Caenorhabditis elegans: one gene and its partner. The protein of the gene in region 2 purifies or fractionates together with the protein of the main gene of each other region. This does not show direct contact. Each region holds a gene or a part of one and is shown on either strand. Other genes may lie near its edges.

Region 1 (7,357 bases), on a different chromosome or scaffold from region 2:
TGTCCGACGGCGGCGAAGTAGTTTCCGATCTCCTCCTCAGTTCCTTGGTATGGAACGTTTCCAACTAGAAAAAAATCGATTAGCAAAACGGGGGTAATAGTAGGTTTTGGCCTATATATAGAAAGTTACAAACTCTCACAATGCACTGTTACAGAGCAAATGCACCCTATCCTAGTCCTAGACTACGGAGACCATGACAGTGCGAAAAGTCTCTTCACCCATACTTTTTGTGGTCGAACGGCGTCTCCATTTCCAGAATTGTGTGGCGATCCGTGTGGGGTCCCGGGTACTCAGTTAGTAGACTCAGTTATACTTATACACGTGGAAGGGGACTACCTGAAATATCGGGATTTGTTGTCAAGGAACACGAATGAACCATAGAGAACGAAGGCCGATCGGAAAACGCTAACAATTATCAGAAATCGATACTTTCTGCAAGTCGAAGAAAAGTTCATCGAAGAAAAGTGTGAGAAAGTTTCAGAAGTTTTGAGAATTTTGTATCATATTCAAAATTTGTACAAATTTAAATTTAATTTTCACCACCGATTTATTACTATACTTACCGTAGACGGAGAATCCTTGGGAAGCCATGATAGATTTTTTTTTGAAGAAAAACGAGTGTGTTTCCGCGTGGAAGACAGACTAAAAATGTTCGATCGAATTTGGCAGTCCTAAAAAGATTGAGGCCAAACGCGCGGCGGGTCTCGCAGCGAACGTGCCGCACTACGGTCGATTTTGTGTAGGTTTACGGGAGGGATATTTTGGAGAAGAAATCGGCAATTGTTGGGAAAGTGAAATGCTTATTACGTAACAAATTTGACGCGAAATATACCTCGTAGCGAAAACTACAGTAATTCTTTAAATGACTACTGTACGGGCTCGGTATTCGAAATGAATTTTAGCTTCTGTGACACAACCAAGTTGGCGAAAATTGAGAATTTAGCTATATTTTGTTATTTTTCTCAGAATTAGAACAATTTCATTGATAAATAAAAAGGACCATCTCTCCGAAACCTCGCCATTTCACGATATTTTGAATATTTTGAACAGTAAATATTGAAATTTCAATCTCATTCTATTTTCGCATTTTCCTGTATCGATTTTTTGTTTTGTATATCATTTTTTAGACCGAAAAAAATTAATATTTAAATAAATATAAAACATTTCCGGAAATGAAAATATTTCCGATGAATCACAGCGAGACACTGTATGTATTCGAGAGAGTGCAGACGCTCGCTTGCGCACTTCTCGTGAGTGTTTGCTGACGCATCCCGGGTGCACCTTGGCGCATTTCTGGATTAATGATATTTTAATTGAAAAACATGAGATTTTATTGGTTTTTCCTCGTTTTTTGCAGTTTTTCCGATGAAAAAAAACATTTTCTGACAGAAATAATAATTTTGAAGCTGAAAAACTATGTATTTTATGATATTTCGTTGGAAAATTAGGTTTTATAAGTTTTTCAGTGAATTTGTGGGTTTAGCATGTAAATGAAGCAATTTTATATGTTTTCTAGCGATTTTTCCCGGTAAAGTTACCAATTTCAGCATAATTTTATTAAAAAAGTGGCTTTTCTGTTTAAAAAACTCAATTTTATAATTTTTCCAGTGCATTTTCGTGTTTACCATTAACATTAGAGTTTTTCGTGGAATTTTCCAACTAATTTCATTGATTTTGGCTGCTCGCTTTTATGAAGTTTCCAGTGAATTTTTATGTTTAACTAATTTTTTTCACGATTTTCGTGCCAATTTCCATTAAATCCATGGATTTTTACATATTATTCAGGGAAGAAAGTGATTTTTTTTCGATTTCAAGTCATCTTCTGTGAATTCTAACGCTTTCTCGCAATTTCCACCCACATAATCCCGCAATTTCTGCACATTTTCAGCAATGCCTCTAACAAAACGGGCGGTATCACCGGTAAACCTCAGCAGAGGCACAATTCCATCAACAATCCATCGTGATGAGCTTCAATGTACTGCTAATGGGACAATCGCCAATTTAGTACGACAATTGAGCTCGTTGAGGTGGGAAATTAGGTCGGAAAACTGGAATTTTATCGATTTTTTTTTGCAGTAAGCACGCTGAGAACATCTTCGGAGAGATTTATCACGACGCAATGATAATAAATCACAAATCGAACACTCTTCAACAGAGAATTGATAGATTGCACAAGAAAGTTGAAGATTTGGATTCAAATTCCGATCAAGCAACGTTGAATGAAGCGAATATGCGAAAAGCATTCAAAAGTTCAATGCTTGTAGATCAACATATTCTGGATAGAAGCACTTTACCTACAGCATTGACTGAAATATATGCAAAATGTGATCCACCGCCGGATCTTGATGCTCTAAATCCGTATAGAGACTCTGAAATCCCTGCGCTCTCTCTCTACACAAATCCCTCGTTTTTCTTCGATTTATGGAAAAAGGAGACACTAAAAGAGGTTGCCGAACGGCCCAGACGGGTAAAAAGCCCGAACGACGGGAGTAAAAGCCCGAAAAAGCGGCGGAAGCAGCCTGGACAAGGCCCTCTCGGCACGACGGCCTATAATGATATGCAGCATAGGAATCGACAGATTAGTGGATCACGGATTAATCAGCAGAATGAAGTTTTCTCGTTCCCGGAGGAATATCAGGCTCCGCAGGCTCTCGGGCTTCAGCTTAACTTTAAAAATCAGGTAGATTTTCGCGAGATTTTTCGATTTTTTGAAGAGAAAATCTCCAAACCGTTGAAAATCGGAAAAAATCGATAATTGAGCCCAAAAATTTGAAAAAAATCGAGTTTTTTGCTGAAAAAGTGAATTTTCTATTGTTTAAAAAGAAAATCAACTTTTCAACGAGATTTCAGCGCTTACACAGCTCTTGTGCTCCCCGAGCAGGCCAAAATGTTCTATTTTGGGGCAAAATTATGGGTTTCCAGTAATTTGGAGCATGAAATTTCCTAAAAATGCACTTTTTCGCCAAAAAACAAGCCAAAATCAATGAGAAAAAGTCACTTTTTCATTAAAATCTGCGAAGATTGATAAGTTTTTGGAAAAATCGCTAGAAACCCTACAAATTAACTTCAAAAAAACTATGAAATCGAATTTTTCAACGAAGTCCCAGCTTTTCCGCTTCAAATGATTTTTTACCGTTGAAAATCGGAAAAAATCGATAATTGAGCCCAAAAATTTGAAAAAAAATCGAGTTTTTTGCTGAAAAAGTGAATTTTCTATTGTTTAAAAAGAAAATCAACTTTTCAACGAGATTTCAGCGCTTACACAGCTCTTGTGCTCCCCGAGAAGGCAAAAATTCTCTATTTTGGGCCAATATTTGGGTTTTTTAGCCATTTGGGGCTTGAAATTTCATAAAAATTCACTAGAAACTTCCAAAAAGCCGAGTTTTCACCGAAAAACAAGCGAAAATCAATGAAATTAGTGGGAAATTCCTTAGAAAAAATAATTTTTCAACAGAAAAGTGCCACTTTTTCATTAAAAATATGCGAAAATTGATAATTTTTTTTTTGGAAAAATCGCTAGAAACCCTACAAATTAACTATAAAAATCCTATAAAGTCGAAAGTTTCAATGGGAACAAATAATTTTGAAGCTGAAAAGTTATGGATTCTAGAGGATTTCGTTGAAAAATTCGATTTTATAGGGTTTTTATAATTAATTTGTACGGTTTCTAGGGATTTTTCCAAAAAAACTTATCAATTTCAGCATATTTTTAGTGAAAAAGTGAAACATTTCTGTTGAAAAACGTTTTTCATTGATTTTGGCTTGTCTTTGAGGCTGAAAACTCGAGTTTTTTGGAAGTTTTCAGTGAATTTTTAAGAAATTTCATGCTCCAAATGACAAAAAAACTCTGAAAAATCGATAATTAAGCCCAAATATCCTTCTCTGGGAGTAATTTTGAAGAAAAAAACGATTTTTTCCACTGAAAATCTCCCAATTTTTGATAAATTCAGCACCCCTCCAACATGGTTGCCCCAATCGGAATGACAATGCACCATCATCCTCAACAAAATGTGCATCCGAGCCAACAACGAGGTGGTGCTCCAGCAGCAGCTCGTGGATCTCCGAATGTTAAACGTCCGACTGAAGCTCCGCCGCCAGTGAATCTGGATCACCTCCCACCACCGGATATGTCAATTTTATCGATTGATGATGATGATGATGATCTTCCACCACCACCACCACCGCTTCTCATGAATACATCAATTGTACATCAGTTACCAGCAGAAGCTCCGTCGACGATACAGTTTGTCGAGCCGAGTGCTGCTCCGCCGACTAATGTACGTTTTGGAGCTCGAGAGAATTTGGAGATTTTGGAGTAAAATCTTGGTTTTTGCGAGGAAAAAAGCTTGCGTTTTTGCTTTAAATTGTCCGTTTTCACGACGAAAAAGCTTGGAAAAGCTTGAAAAAACTAGAAAATGTGAAAAGTCTCTATTATTCTAAGTTATTATGAGCGTTTAGAAGCCTTAAGCCTTTTTCAGGCAAAATCTCGCTTTTTCGCTTTAATTTGTTCATTTGGGCCACGAAATCACGAAAAATTGGTTGAACTCTATTAGAAAGGCTTGAAACGGCTTGAAACCGTTTGGAAAAGCTTGGAAAAGCCTGACAGAGCTTGAACTAGCTTGGAAGAACTTGAAAGAGAACGATAAAGCTTGAACAAGTTTGGAAAGCCTGACAGAGCTTGAACTAGCTTGGAGAAGCTTAAAGAGCTTGAAAAAATAGTGAACAAGCTTGGAGAACCTTGAAATGGCTTGAAAACGTTTGGAAAACCCTGGAAAAGGCTTGAAAAGGCCTGCAAAAGACAGGAAAAGATTCCAAAACGCTTAAGAAAGCTTGAACAAGCTTGGAAAAGCTTGAAAGAGCAAGAAAAAGCCTGGAAAAGCTTGTAGAGCTTAAACGAACTTGTAATAGCTTGAAAAGGCTTGGAAAAGCCTGACAGAGCTTGAAATAGCTTGAATGAGCTTAACGAGCTTATAATAGTTTGAAAAAGCCTGGAAAAACCTGGAAAAGCTTGGAGGAGCTTGAACAAGCTTGACCAAGCTTGAGCAAGCCTGAAAGAGTTGGGAAAAGCCTGAAAAAGCTTGGAAACGCCTTGAAAAAGCTTGGAGGAGCTTGAACAAGCTTGACAAAGCTTGAAAAAGCCTGACTGAGCTTGAAATAGCTTCGATGAGCTTAAACAGCTTGAAACAGCTTGAAAGAGAACGATAGTGGCTTCGAAAAGCTTACAGAGCTTAAAAAAGCCTGGAAAAACTTCAAAATGCTCGTGCGAGCTTGAAACAGCTTGTAAAGCCTGAAAGAGCTTGGAAAAGGCGTCAAAAAGCTTAGACGAGCTCGAAAAAGCTTGCGAAAGCCTGGAAAAGCTAAAAAAGCCTGACTGAGCTTGAAATATCTTCGATGAGCTTAAAAAGCTTGAAACAGCTTGGAAAAGCTTGGAAATTTGTGAAAAGCTCCAAGATTTCTTGTAGTGCATAAAATTAATTTGAAGCTATATTTCTGCAATTTCCAAGCTTAAAACCCCGAATTTTTCAGTTAAAAATTTGCAATTTTTGTCCATTTTTGTGTTTCCCTCATTGTTGTCCACTTTCCGCTTCTTTCTTCAATTCTCGATCCCTTTCAGATCCCTCCACCACCTCCACCACCACCTCCAATGGTTATAAGCTCGGCTGCAGCGTCATTTGCAGCTCCGGCTCCAAAGGTAAAGGCGCTGGAACAGCAGGGCTCTATGTGTGTCTAACCCGCTGAAAATGTGTAGTTTTCCTGTGTTTTTTGGACTTTTTTGAAGCTTTTTTAGGGACAAATTTCAAGAGAAATAGCCGAATTTTCATCAAAAAATCGATTTTCTCCCACTAAAACTGAAATTTTCAGCCATCCGCGGACGGTGAAGCTGCTGGCACAAATTCCCCAGTTGCTCCAAAACAACCAGATGCTCGAAGTGATCTTTTGGCTCAAATTCAATCTGGAATAAAGCTGAAAAAAGTGCAAAGAGCCGAGGCAGAAGCCGCCGAGAATGCTGCTCTCGAGGCGAATAATGTTGCGGCGATATTGAAGAGACGAATGGATCAAGTTATGGGAAATGATGATTCAAGTAGTGAAGAAGGAGCTGATGATGATGAATGGGATGATTAATTGCTCTCTTTTGTGTCGATTTACGCAGATCTCGTGTACTCCTCGAGGAGAAGATTCTACAGATTTTGGCTAAAAATGCTTGATTTTCGCTATTTTTTCCTTGAAAATTAACATTCAAAGCGGTGATTTTTAAGCGAAAAACCCGTGAAAATAGCTCTAAATCAAGCATTATTACCCATTTTTGCATTTTTACTGATTTTTTCGGTGAAAAAAAAAACGATTTTTCGCTGAAATTCTTGATTTTCGCTATTTTTACTTGAAAATTAACATTCAAAGCGGTTATTTATGCACTTTTAAGTGAAATCTGAGTGTTTTTAAAGTTAAAAATAAAAATAATTCATTGATTTTTGCCAAAAAAAAAACCGTGAACATTGCGAAAATGGCTCAAAATCAAGTACTTTTTTTTGCTAAAATGGTTGATTTTGAGCCATTTTCGCTATTTTCACGGTTTTTTTTTGTCGGTGAAAACTTTAAAATCGCTCAAATTTCACTTAAAACGCTATAAATAACCGGTTTAAATGTTAATTTTGATAGAAAAATAGCGAAAATCAAGCATTTTTAAGCCAAAAAACTGTAAAATCTTCTCCTCGGGGACTACACGAGCTGCGTAAATCGACGCACACTTTTTCGAATTTTCTTGTGTAAATACTGCCTTGCTTTAATTTATTTATTCAAAAATTTTTAAAATTTTTTCCGCTTTCCTGTTTCAAATGAACTGATTTTTCTCATTTTTTGCCCCTCCAGAATTGTAAATTTAAATTTCCAAGTGGTCGCCTGCCCCCTCATTATTATTTCGCAATTTTATGATTCATCAGTTTTTCCAATTTTTATTCGATTTTTTTTCAATTTAAATCAATTTAAACCTTTGAAATGTAGGAAAACTTCAATTTTCGCTTAAAATTTTCAATTTTTGGTGAAAAATCGATTTTTCCGGAAAAAAAACGTGAAATTTCCAATTTGGAGCACATTTTTATGAAATTTGCATCATTTCTCTCGAATTTACGAAAATATTTAAATTTTCAGCGGAATTTGGACATATTTCCTGGAAAACTCTTGATTTTTCGCAGAAAATTGCAATTTTTCATGCAAAAATTTGTTTTCTACGCATCGGAGCTCCAAAATTCCCAAATTATTCGAAAATTCAATTTTTAGCTTTTTTTTTCTCGAAATTTCAATTGAAAATCGTGTTTTTTGGCTCATTTTAGCTCAGTTTTCAGCTGAAAAATTCGAAATT
Region 2 (4,838 bases):
GCCCCAAGCAAAAACTCAAACTTTGCAGAAAAAAGGTGCGGTGAGTGTCCAAGGCGCGGCGTCCTAGAAACTATCGCCAGGACGGAAGGGCGCAATCCGAATGCAATGTGATCTACATATACAATGAATTGTCGACCCCAACACCGATTGACGACGCGACTAGAAGAAGAAGAAGAAGTTAGAAGGGGGAGGAGGAAGGGAAAATGAGGGGAGATGAAGAAAAATGGTTGTAGAATTGAAATGGATTGACAGTAAGGCTGAAGAAGTAGGGGGGAATGGGGAACGGAAGCAGAATGACATTTTCGTTTTGAAATGTTCTCGGTAACTTTTCGACTATTACAGAAATTTTTCTCAGAAAACTTGAACATGGTGCATCAGGTAAAAAAATCGATATTTTTTGAAGGAGCAGCAATAATTTTGTCTAGAAAAATAAATCCGAACATGGTGCATCGACTGGAAAAGTCCGATAAGTTTGGCGGTAAAACCTGAAAAATATGTGAGAGCCAAAGAAATTTTTTGAACATGGTGCATCGGACAAAATTTGTCATAGGAAATGACGTTCTTTTTGGCATTTTATCATATTTTTTCAAACAGAGAAAAAATTTCACTTTACTAGCACAAATTTTGAATGAATAATATACTGATAACCCTTAATATGTATGTAAAAGTGACAAGTTTCAACCGTAAACTTAAAAATTGCTAGTGTAGTTTTCAGTCGATGCACCATGTTATAAAATTACATCCAAGGTTACAGGGACCCCACAAAAAATTTTCTTTTTAAAAAACCTTCTAATCTTATTGATAATTCCCTGCTAAACACAAATACAATCACAGAAAGTACGATTTTGGTGCCGAAAAAGGGAGAAAAAGAGAGTGAAGCTGTGTTTATTTGCGCTTTCCGCCCTTCCCCAACTACCGCTTTTGCCTATTAAATTGGCGAGAAGTGAACGATAAGGAAAGAGCGGAGAACCGACGATCAGAAAGTTTGTGCAATTTTATTAATAAAACTGTTCGGAACCATTATTATATTAAAACCAGGGCTCCCATGTAGGCGCCGCGATCCGACATTTTTTGGGTTTCGCGCATTGCTATTAAGATTTCGGATCCCGGCGTGAGGGCGGCGTTTGCGGCACCCACATGGGAGCCCTAATTGAAAATTTAAAGAGTAAATCGATAGAAAATCCAATTTTCAGAATTCATTTCTCAAGTTACATGCTCTCAAATTTTGAGCACTAGAAATTGAAGACAGTCTGCACTCTCCCCTCGTCCCACACTCTCTCGGCTTTAAGTTCTATAAGCTTGTATCTCTGCGGTAGATTACTGTTATAAACGACAAAAAACTGGCTGAAGTATTGGGAAAATTTGAAAGAAAAAAAATTTTGCTGTTTTTCTGAATCAAATTCAAGCACAAACTGATATGTTCAAAAAGATGTGTCATACTGGCATTTCTGAAATGTTCACAATTTTTCTGTAAACTGATAAGAAACTTTGGCGAAAAAAAAATCGGATTTTGTAGTTTTTAAGAGAAGTTTTTGAGAGAGAGTAGAAAATTAATTTTTTTGAAATCAATTTTTAAAAATACAACGTCTTAAAAAAGTAGGCATAATCAGTGTGAACGGACCAATTTAATAAAAAAAAATGTTTTTAAAATATATTATAGAAATTTCCACTCCATTTTTGAATTTTAAAATTAGAGCGCATTTACCAAAACATACTAACGTGCGCCCAGCAAACCCACTAGGTAACCCTGTTTTTTAATTCTGCGTCTCTCTCTCTCTCTCTCTCTCTCTCTTTCACTCTCTCTATACACCTCCCGCCACTCCTTATTAGTATCCACCTCTACATTAGCAACAAATGACTAATTCAAGTGTGTTCGGAGGGTGGGTGAGCCGCTTCCGCCGTTACTTTGTGATCGCCCGCCACCCCCCGATCTTGCTTACAACTACTAAATTATGTATGCGGGAGACGAGAAGGTATATGTGATATGCGAAAATGTATGTAGGAACGAGTAGAAATGTTTGGTGGGGGGGAGGGGGGGGATCATTAGATTTTATTAAAAATTTGAGAAAAATCCAAGGATTTTCCACATCGAAACTATAAAATTGCACTAGAAGTTGGCAAACGCCAAATTTCAAATTCATCCGAACTTTAGAAATTTCGGAATTTTACCGAATTTCAAAAAGTATCGGGACCGCCCATCTGTGATCATGCCAGTATCAGTACCCCAATATCGATACAAATGATATTATGGTCCGACATCTAACGGGTTTCGCGCCCCACCCAGGCAATTGCAAATAAAATATAGTGCGGCGCAAAACCCTGCGGACGTCTTGCCATGATATCAATTGAAATCCCTATTTTTGCATATTCCCAGAAAATAATCCTTAAAGTGGTTGGGCCCGGAATTTCGTCAAATTTTGGAGTTTTGAAACTGCGGCGGTCTCGAAAAATTCTAGGTTCTGGAAATTCGTGGCGTGGGTGCTTTAGAGCTGTAACAGAATTTGGAAAAATTTTATATTTCCAATTTTTTCCAAATTAGGCATAATCCTGGTATCTTGGAACTTTGACATATTTTTTAAAAGTTCAGCAATTTGAAGCAGCGCCCAATTTTGAAAATCTGAAGTTTCGTGCCATTTTTCTCATTTTGGTGGAAACCTTCTAACCTTTTCACAGTGTGAAGTGCATAACATTACAATTTTAGGCACATATGTACATACTTTTAATCAGTAGATTTTTTGAAATGTTGAACTAGGAAAAAAGGAGGATTCACGGTTTAGAATCGTAAAAAATTCAGCTCAACATTTGGTGATTTTGGCCATTTTTTTAGACCCGCGGTTTTTTCATTTTAGTAGCCTGTTTTCTTATTTTAAATTTTAGTTTTTACCAAGGATTCAATAAAAACTTACCCATAGCTGGTCCCAACTGCAACTGTCGTTCATTGTTCGCCGCTTCTTCAAAAGGTTGTTACCATCCAATCCAATCTCGATTCCTTCTTTTTATGAACACTAATTGGAACTTTTTCGAGTTGAAGTCTGAAAAAAAACTCAAAACGTTAACAGCAATGAGCAGCACAAAAAAGATCCGAACAAACGAGAAGGAGAAAAAAATTGAAAACTTTAGTTCGTAAATAGGAACAAAAACAGTAATCTAAGCTGTTGACGGTTGGGCGTGTCGTGGAGCAAAAATGGAGAGCAATTTGTGGTTGGTGCTCATGGCACCGGGAGGCGGAAGGAAGCATAGGTATAATTGTGGGGGCTCAGGAGGGGGGGGTAAATTTTTTGTGGAAGAGCAGAGTATTTGGAGTGCTATGGGAGGTTGAAAAAAGGTGGAGAAAATTATTGCAAAATTGAGAAATTAATAGAAAAAATCAAGCTTAATCAAAAAAAAAACATTTCGCTAAAACGTGCTAGATTATTCGAAAAATCGGAAAAAGTTTAATAGCCGAAAATGGCCTAAAACCTCCAATTTTCAAACTTTTCCATATGGTATAGTTCACGGTTACCAGGTACCAGAAATTTTCAGCTACCGAATTTACAAAAATAGCATCAGCAAATAGTGAAAAAATTAAGAAAATCAGCAAACAATTTTTCACTTATTTCCGTTGAAACAGGCTAGACCCCAAAGAAACATTCCAATCCCAAATTTATCCGAGAACAGCAACACAGAAAAAAACAAGATAGGCGGTCACGAGAAGTGGGGTCCGCGGTCAGCTCGAGCACCCAGCTCGAGCTGCAGCAGCTCGGACCTCGAAAAGTAGCTCCCAAGAGAAGAAGAAAAAGAAGAGACGCTATTTCTCGCCCAATAGCATATGTATACACATGTGTGCGTCTGCGTATCTTGCTATCTAGGATAGACCTCGGGGTCCCGGGGTTTTCGGAGATATTGATGAGCGAAAAATGAAGAGTTTACAACAATACGCACGGCGCGAGATACCTAGTCTAATCAATTTTTTTCGAATTACGTTGAGGGAAATCTCGTAATTTTGAGTCTGAAGCTAAGCCTGAAATTAGGCCCGAGCTTGCCTAAAAGCTAAAGGGTAACCTAAAAGCTTAGTCTGTACCGAGGGACTCAGTTTTTGAAGAAGGGCATTAAGCTAAGAGCGCAGCCTAAAGGCTTAGACTTCAGGTGCCCAGCCATTACTTTGGGCTTCTTTGGGGCTTGGCGTTCGTGGGCTCAGAATTATCCTTCAACTACGGGGCTTAACCTTCTTGGTCTCAAACTTTGAAGGATGATAAGCCTGACCTCAAGGATTTTAAAATAAGCCTAACCTCAAGGAGCGGAAAAAATGGAGATGCGGCTTTCAAGGGCTCAACCGCCTAAATGCCTAAATAAAGAAAGTAAAAGTTAGCCTAAATGGCTTAGTTTTTGAAGGCTCAACTTTCTGGGTCTCCACTTTTTGGCCCTGACATATATTTTAGCCTTAACTTCACCATCTGCCTTGGCCCGAAAAAAAAAAAAAAAAACCTAAAGCTGACTAAAATATATATATATATACTGGTTTCAAAGGACTTCCAAAAAAGCCCTACAATCACTCTCAGAAAAAACTACCCAAAAAATGCTATGCTTGTCGTACCCGACGTTTCTCAAGGTAATATGCAAAACAGGCCTCCTTTTGTCCCCCCTCCTGCCTCGCCAATCTTTCCATGGCCAAACGCAAAAGTTCAAGTGACCCGCCAAATCGACGACAACACATAGGTAGTCGTGTCTCGGAAGGTTGAGTAGAAAAAAAAGAAGAATGGGGAAAAGGAGGCGAAGAAAATGTATTCGGAAGTTAGTAATGAAAGGTAGTACACCTAAGACAAGGTGACATTGGGACTGAGAATCGGTGACAAGGGGGT

Evidence for each region. The genes of interacting proteins can lie anywhere in the genome.
Region 1: the proteins of toca-1 (region 2) and wve-1 purify together in Caenorhabditis elegans (affinity purification with western blotting, with the first as the bait; one study listed by BioGRID). This does not show direct contact.

The regions. Positions count from the first base shown.
Region 1 is NC_003279.8:11,924,041-11,931,397, reverse strand, and holds wve-1 (Wiskott-Aldrich syndrome protein family member), read left to right. Parts: upstream 1-1,881; 5' UTR 1,882-1,890; coding exon 1,891-2,027; intron 2,028-2,076; coding exon 2,077-2,680; intron 2,681-3,950; coding exon 3,951-4,277; intron 4,278-5,614; coding exon 5,615-5,692; intron 5,693-5,862; coding exon 5,863-6,123; 3' UTR 6,124-6,857; downstream 6,858-7,357. Other genes in the region: R06C1.4 (RRM domain-containing protein), read right to left, coding at 1-64, 564-591.
Region 2 is NC_003284.9:1,518,456-1,523,293, forward strand, and holds the start of toca-1 (Transducer of Cdc42-dependent actin assembly protein 1 homolog), read right to left. Parts: upstream 3,033-4,838; 5' UTR 2,940-3,032; coding exon 2,907-2,939; intron 1-2,906. UniProt on the Caenorhabditis elegans protein: Plays a role in protein trafficking, actin organization and embryonic morphogenesis. Potentially acts as a cdc-42 effector. May play a role in hypodermal P-cell nuclear positioning.